2 linked regions of the Neodiprion lecontei genome follow. The protein of the gene in region 1 purifies or fractionates together with the protein of each later gene. This does not show direct contact. Links are inferred from orthologs where the notes say so. Each region holds a gene or a part of one and is shown on either strand. Other genes may lie near its edges. The genes, in order: transcriptional activator Myb and protein lin-52 homolog.

Region 1 (5,133 bases):
GCCTCGTTCCATTGGAAAAAGAATTGGCAACAGTATCCGCCTCAGATCCGGAGAGAGAATACACTTATCGTCTTGCAGAAAATTTGGATACCCAATTGAAGCAGATGTCCGAAGATTTAAAAGAAATAATTGAGCACCTTAACGAAGCGAATAGATCTCAAGATTCAAGTGACCCGATTGTCCAGATTGGTAAAATACTGAATGCACATATGAACAGTTTGCAATGGCTCGATCAACGTACGTCAGTTTTGCAAACAAAGATACAGCAGATTGATCAAATGCATCAAAACTTTAGACAGGAACATGAGCGAAGCTTCAATTTGGCTTATAATTAACACCTCTGTCGCCATTGAACAAGTGACTACTTTCATAGGACCTTGGATGAATTGCAAACTTGACCGTCAACGATTTCATCTTTCAGCGAATTCAGATATGCCAGTTGAACATCTTATTCGGTGGGTACTCTAATTCAACTACACAATTCAATTTTTTAATCTGCATTAAGAATACAATTCGAGTGGAATATTGACATGACCGAATATCTGCTGTACTTCCAAATATTGTATGAATTTTGTTTTGTTTTCAAAGAGTAAAAAATGCACTCCAACCAATCTCAGAAAGATTGATATTCATTATTACTGCAAGTCCATCGTTGGAGGACTGTCTTGGTCTACATATACATAATGAGATAATTGTTTGAATTATATGGCGATCAGGAATCTGAATCGATTAATTTCCGGTGTTGCACAAATACGTAATTTTTTAATATAAAAAAAGTTATAATTTATTATTCTAATTGATTTCTACAGAATTGAAATGGCTGGTATGAAATAGTGTATTTCTAAATGTCCATCAATGTTCATATGCATGTTAATCATTCTGTCAGCCACTACGTTGCAAATTACGCTTTCGGCTTTTATTATATCCCATGTTAGAAACATTCCAAATTTCCTAATATCTATGGTGGCCGAAACTTCTTCCTCTTCTTCATCCGTTACTCCTGAGTCTCGATCGTCTCCTCCAACCTTCAAGTCTTGAAAGTGCGTCGCTACGGTAGCAAAACTGGTTTCCACCTTCAGTATTAATTTCCCTGTTTTCTTAGCAGTTACGACAAGTTGTGGACTCATTTTTCCCATCTGATCGACAACATTTCGCAAGTGTTTCATGTCTGGCATCTCTATGGAAACCTGTAACAAAAAATAGAGATGCATTTGCAGGAGTAAACTTGATCGCGAGCTAAGTTGCCAGACGATATGATTCAGTATTAGGTCTCTTCAACATACATCGAACGACGGTATAATTGGAGCCTGATATTCCCCCCATTCTTTTCGAGGAATTACTTTAACAGGTACATCATGAACGCACTGTCTAAGCTCGTTGCTTATCGAAGGTAATTCAATATCGATAGTGAGACATGGCTGTTCTCTGTTGGTAAGTTTGATCTTGACGCTCTTGGCGGTCATTTTGAGGGAGCTTAGGCTCTTTGCGAGCATGGCAGGTGAGAATTCGAGGTATATCTCATCCTGTTCCTCGCACACACCTACCATGGTGTATTCGCTGAAGAATTTGTTTTGGTACAAAACAGCCCACGCTATCGGCGAATAGTCGTCACCGACGTGAAAGCACACCTCGTCTTTTGTAAGACGTATCACGCAAGCCTTTGCCAGGCGGGATACCGTGTTTGCCACATCTATCGATTGAAATATACAAAGTTGTTACATTTTTCGTACACATAAATTATAAACAGGTTATGGTTAGGCCAGTGAAACATCGATCTTTCCTCTTACTAGTGAAGTCGCGCATCGCTGCGGAGTCGATCATTCTGCATCTGAATTTCATCCCGACGAGTAATAAACAGAACGAATTCCCAGTGAACCGAACGTTTACCGCGAGGCTCTCGCAGACAAATCAGCGGCCTGTCAAACAAGTCAACATCGCACGTCCGTTGGCGCCGTTCGTTTGGTTCCGTTCCGGCGTTCCGCCACACCGGTACTTCGCTCAGAAGTTTCTAGATGTCACCAGTGTCACCGAAACAGTCGGTTCCCGCGCTGCCAGCATAATTTTCTGCAAACGAAAACTTACCCTGCGCAGCGGTGGTGATCGCCTAACGAATTCTTCGGGGACCGAGGCTGCCGCCGGTCGTCCTTTGTGTAAACAAACAGAACACCCGCCTCGCGCCGGAAACAAAATAAATCTATGATCGTGCGGTGTGTGCTTTAAACAATTCTCGGGGTGTTCGATTCGCGAAATCCGTGAGAGTGATCAGTCAGTGTGTGCAACGCTTAAAACTGTATTTCGACTAATTTGACAAATTAACCCGGACAGCGTGCAGAGAGGGTGAGAAATAGATGCGTCGGCCATTTTGCAGATATTGTTATCATCTCTGCACGCTCAAAGCTAATCGATAATGCTATAATAACTAACCAAAGAGTGAGAGAGAGAGAGAGAGATCGCTTACACTTCATATTCTCTCAAGTAATCCCTTACCGAGAGAATTGCAAAAGATCGAAGAACATGTCCTGCTCGGATTGAAATGCAGTTTTATCGAGCTAGGTGAGTCAGAAGACTAGAAATACATTATTCCAACTTATCGTACATACATACATAAATTTATTCGCTACCCAATTCAATGATCGTCTCTCGGTGTTTACTAAACATTCGCAAGGTGCTAACACGCTTCTTCGTCTTACATTTTTTCTTCTTCTTCATTTTTTTTTTTTTTTCTTCATCTATTTCGAACGCGAAAATCTCTCTGCGGCGATTCTCAATTGTTGACAGTTCTATTACATCTCGTGACGCTAGTCACTTTACTTTCGCATGTAAACAACACGCGTTGTCTGCCTTGCCAGCGTAATCAGCTGTGCTCAAAGACCGCGTAATTCGTCATTCCATAATTTAAATCCTTTGCGATTTGTTACTTATTCAACTCCCCTACGGATCCTTACACCGCAGCTTTGCACATATACATATATATTTGCGTAAACAAAATCTAAGCTGCTGCGCTTACAATGTACCTTGCAACATTATGCATTTTAGTAACGATCCGATCGTTGTTTTAGGCACATTTGAAACAACGGTTACAATGTTCGTAATACAACATTCGAATGTCGCGTGTGATTTAGCATGTTTTTTAAAAAAAAATTCTCAGCCTTCTTTCATGTTTTCGTTTTATTTTATCCGAAACAACGTCTTCGTTCGATCAATACCCCCTGCTTCCCAAAACTCGGTGAAAAATTCACCCCTCCGTCTTTGTAAGACATGTGGTTCAATGTTCCTTCGTTCCTCCTCCTTCTCTTCCGTCTTTTGTTTTTTTCGACTGCATACTTCGCCGTTTATCGCTCACCTAGAAAGAACGACGACAGGTGTCTGCCGGAACACGTGGCCCGCGGCAGTCGCACCGGGCCTTCCTGTTTCATTTTTTCACGTTACTTGTTTTATCGCCGTTTATCTTTCCCCCCCTTGTTTTATCAATGCCATAATACCCCACGCACAGCGACTCTATATCTCGATGCCTTCGTCGTCAGGCGCAACTGTAAAAAGCTACGAATCACGAGAGCGCGTTTAAATTTTCCCGCGCATTCCGAGGTGTGTCGATCGAAAGAAAAAGGATCTAGATATTCGTGTAATAGCGTATGAAATTTCTCAGGGTTTTCAGTAGATTTTTGAAAAAGGTGAAAACTTTTGGGAAAGTCGGTAGAAGGAAGGGATTATGGTATTTTTCCATCTCCGACAGAGCAGACCAGGTTATCCTAATTATCCTTGTTCTCAGGACGTTCGAATCGCAATGAAAGAACGACTCTGTATTCGTAATAAGAACGTTTCAACTCTGTGGGATATGTGTACCTACATACGTATACATTATTAAACGTATCGCATATGCGTACCTATACCGATGTTTAAACAAAGAGCGCTTGTTTTTCCATATGCGTGTGCACACGTCCACCATACATGTGATTATTTGCTCTCGGCGCAGCATGGCAACATCACCACACGCGTAAACGCGAGATGAAATGGGCCAGCAGCAGCCGTGGGAGGTACATGCATATAAATATATATATACATACACAGGAAATCGAGTATATCTTGCAGGAAGCGAGTAAAGGGTTCGTTCGGTGTCAGCTTTCCATTGAAAAGAATCGAATGAAAAAATAAAAACTGCACCAACGACGGAGTCAAATCAACGAATTGAAACCTTTGGGAAGAATACGATATGTAACAATACGAAGAACATTACATTGTCATCGGGATTATTATCATTGCACTCAAAATATAAACAGAATAGAATGAATTAATTTCCAAGTTTCATCAATCGTTAAATCGAGCAACGTCTTTTTTCTTTTCTTTTATTTCAACTGTATTTTACTTTATCTAGGGTATGCATAGGTTCAGATAATTGGGTTCGCGAGTTTATTAAAAGAATTATCAGGTAGCGAAATTGAGAGTGTTTTGAAACAGATGCTTTAATAGCAAAACGCGTGCTTACAGTTTAAACTCGGTAACAAGACTGTTTTTACAATAATGTTACTTGACCCAGCAACCTTATTCATTTCATAACACAAGAAAGCTCTCACACGTCTTTTATCCACAATGACGACTAGATCATTAGAAAAGTGGCTTTAAGACGGCAGCAAGCTGCTTCCCTCTCACGATGATACATCTTTCGCGTGATTCTATTTATCAAGAATAAAAATAAATTCTCCGTCGTTGATAATAGCGAGCGAGAAGAAAGAGAGGGAGAGAGAGAGAGCGATTAGGGAGAGAGGGGGTTTCGGTGTGACGCAATCGCGTCGTCCCGCATAGCAACTAACGTTGAGGACAATCAGTCAGTCAGTCAGTCAGACAGTCAGTCAGTCGGTGGTAAGTGAGTAGGGAAGGACGATCGTCGGGAACGAGGAACGAATGAAACCTCGAACGAAACCGAGGAGGGTTCAAATGTTACGTCGTCGTCTGGTCGCCGGCCCCCCCTTCCCTCCTCCCCCCCGTCTCCTCTTTTCCCTCCATTCCCATTCCCATTCCCCATCCTTTACTCTCCTTGCGCCCCATACGAAGAGCGGAGAGTCAGATGTAGATAATATAAAAAAATTGGAAGTCGAGTCCGTGGTAGTTGAACGTTTTTCTCATGCACGGCTCGTG
Region 2 (3,282 bases), on another chromosome or scaffold:
GACTCAGAGATGGAAGAAGCACAGTTGTCTCTAATTGCGGAAGCTGTTGAAGCAGCCTCCCAATCAATGGATGTAGACTTAGAGGAACTGGTAAGTAAACTAATGTCTTCTACATTCTGCTAAGCTGCCACATAATGCTGAAGTGGTCCTAGATACTGTTCATTGATGTCCAGTGCATGAGGGAATCTTGAAGCATTAGGTAGTTTTGATAAAAAAAAAGAAAGAAATTCAATCATGTTAATTTGTTTATAAAATAGCTAGTCACATATTATTAGAATTCTTCCCATTCGCTTCTAGGCTAAAAGCATGTAGAACATGATACAATGCTCGACTGGCTCAAGGTCTTAATCAACAATCTTCCATTACTTCGCTATCCAAAGGTACTTACTTGATAACTCGTATAAATATGTAAGGATGAAATATTTTTAAATAAAATTTTGTGATATTTACATTTGCCATTGCTTTTCTCAAGGTTACATTCCGCATAGCTATCCCACTATTCCTTCAATCTTACAGGTAATCTCACCAACAAGTTGAACAAATTTTTTTAGAGCCAACTATCTAAGCAACTATACCGATAAAAACTTGAAGGTTTCTAGGCGGTATAATATTATAACATCTCTGATCAATTACATCATTGGATGTTGGTCAAAAAAAAAAATTTCTCATGGATATTGAGCGATAGAGAAGAATTTCTATAAAGATTTCATTCAAAAAAATATTTACATACATACATAAGTACACTTATTCTAATTTTATGAAACTATTTATGTTTAAATATGTTTAAATATTTTCCACGAGTCATTTCTTTGGCCTCTTCCAATCCCAGTTGGTACGCAGTATCGTGAAGTTTTTTAACTTCTGTAATAAGACCAGTCATTGAAAGGTTACCGAGCTCTGAAATAAAATGAGTAAACTGTTGAGTCTATAAGGGTCTTAAATCTAGAACAGAATATGGGATTCAAGGCAAAGAAGTCAGTTTGAGACACTTACGATGGAGTTTATTTATATCATCAGCTGCAAGAGTCGCTGCCCACGAAGGTGGTTCTGTTTGAGGGGAATTTTGAGCGACGTATTCGTTCACACCTGGAACTTCATCATTCGCTGATATAAACTAACTTTTATAAATAAAAAATTACGGAAATTTAAGACCTTGGGTAATCTAATGGTGAACTCACTTTGTTCAGGCCAGAGGTCCGGCGATGCTCGATCCAATTTTTCCAAGCTCATGAGACTCTCGTCAACCGCAAGCAGCTCTGAAAAATATAACAACAGGTATTCGCTTCTTGTTTACCATTCTTTGTTGAAATTTTAAATTACATCCTAACCTGATTCGTTCGCGGGTCCCTCGGACGCCATTTTGTTTATTACTTCATTTCCCGCTCTCTGCGGCTGGTTCAATCGGTTCAATCATATTTCAAACGGAGCAATATGGCGGTAGGTATGAGTATGCATGTGTATTCGTATGAATCGGTCACAGTGTTGTATGGGTTGTATGCATCACTGAACTATAATACAACGAATAGACCAGCGTCATACCGAAGATTCGCCGCTCTTGAGAACGATGCGCACCTGGTAGCGGACATTTGCGTTAAAAAAAATGTCCGCCGAGTTGTGATCATATACGTAATACTCCTACTAGTGTCTGTTCTGTTTCTCCATCGTGATTTCATGTTCATCAACTTCCGCCGTTCCATTAATCCAATCTGACGTGTAGAGACGTGTACCAAAAGTCAAACGCAGTTCACGTTTGTTAGGTTAAGTTCGTTTCTTAAAATTGATATTTACAGCAACGTGTTTTCAAAATGCTCGATCTCTTTACAATATTCAGCAAAGGCGGTATAGTACTTTGGTGTTTTCAAAGTACTACACAAATATTTACACCAAGTGTCAACGCATTGATTCGCAGTGTTATTTTACAGGCAAGTATTCAAAACAACATTATTACAATTACCAAGTGTTGACTTAATTTCCATTCATCGAAATCAACTGGTAGTCCGCGATGTTATATTGTGCTTGTCATGCTCGACAAGGTATTGAATCGTTGCAACCACTGGTTGGAATATCTTACCTTCGACAACTGTTCAGCCTGAACATATGGCAATGGATTTGCACTCGTGTGAATTTTGGTTACATTTAACTCTACAAAAATCATATTGTTGAAGAAGCATCTGCTGTATGAGAAAAGGATCAGCTTAGTTGATTTGACCTTTCAGTAACGGAATAAGTTATCGCAAAATAAATTGGCATATTATTTACAGGAGCGAACAGGTAGCCATACGTTTGATCATGACTCGTTGCGACTTCAATACAAGCTGGACAATGAATTTGAGCTTATATTTGTGGTGGCATATCAAAAGATACTCCAGTTATCCTATGTGGATAAGTTTCTTTCCGACGTTCATCTTGAGTTCAGAGATCGATACAAAAATGAGCTAGCAAAATCACAGTGGTTCTATAATTTTAACTTTAAGAATAGTTATGATGCCATACTAGCAGCTGCTGAGCAATGGGGAAAACACCAGGCTAAACTTCCAAAGCAGATGCGTACATTCGATGAAAGTATTAAATCAAAGAAAACTGTCGCTAGTATGATTGAAAGAAAGGACGACAAAGACAACAAAAAACAAGGTAAAGTGTTTAGCTATTTCAACTAAAAATCAAGATTTAACTATTCCATCTGGGTATTCATCCTGGTTTGCAAACTTTTGCAAGTATTTCTTACTTAGTAGACTTGTATATAAGAGTAAGAAACTTGTATCATTAGTTGGATATAGTTTTGATGCTTTGGGTTGATTACATTATCATTTACGTCCCTTCTTATCATAACGCTTCACTAACTTGGTATTTTTAGGAAAGAAGAAGAAGGGGATTTTTTCCAATGATGATAGTCATTGTAAGTGGTAACTGCTATCATTGTTGTGTGAATCTAGTTACTAAAATCGTATTCCTTTTTCACATTAATCAATTATTCTCACTGTAACCTTAATTCCTAAACATATTTCATCTGCTGGTGATTTTGAATGCAAGGATGTGGCGAGATTCCACAAGGTTTCTAAATTTGTGGAAAATCGTATAATGTTAATTCAAATTTTACATACGAAATTTTTCAGTGAAAATTCAAGAACCTGTCAAACCAGATGTACCAAAACAATCTCCAGTTACAAATGGAGAGTTGGACGAAGAAACTCTCTTAGCTAATAGACTCAAACTTGTACAAAAAATAGCTGGGCCAAAGAAGAAAGCAGATAAACAGTAAGAAGTTTTCCAAAATTTTGCGGT

Evidence for each region.
Region 2: the proteins of transcriptional activator Myb (region 1) and protein lin-52 homolog purify together in Drosophila melanogaster (affinity purification with western blotting; 3 studies listed by BioGRID, with this or other methods). This does not show direct contact. The link is inferred for Neodiprion lecontei from reciprocal best matches to the Drosophila melanogaster genes Myb and lin-52.

The regions. Positions count from the first base shown.
Region 1 is NC_060264.1:1,903,806-1,908,938, forward strand, and holds the start of transcriptional activator Myb, read left to right. Parts: upstream 1-2,117; 5' UTR 2,118-2,533; coding exon of another isoform or gene 2,534-2,553; intron 2,554-5,133. Other genes in the region: nuclear pore glycoprotein p62, read left to right, coding at 1-335; checkpoint protein HUS1, read right to left, coding at 804-1,187, 1,284-1,690, 1,788-1,839. UniProt on the Drosophila melanogaster protein: DNA-binding protein that specifically recognizes the sequence 5'-YAAC[GT]G-3'. Component of the DREAM complex, a multiprotein complex that can both act as a transcription activator or repressor depending on the context.
Region 2 is NC_060265.1:25,299,396-25,302,677, forward strand, and holds protein lin-52 homolog, read right to left. Parts: upstream 1,630-3,282; 5' UTR 1,360-1,629; coding exon 1,329-1,359; intron 1,257-1,328; coding exon 1,179-1,256; intron 1,105-1,178; coding exon 994-1,104; intron 898-993; coding exon 764-897; 3' UTR 693-763; downstream 1-692. Other genes in the region: X-ray repair cross-complementing protein 5, read left to right, coding at 1-90, 298-312; signal recognition particle receptor subunit alpha homolog, read left to right, coding at 1,806-1,922, 2,262-2,631, 2,855-2,896, 3,114-3,255.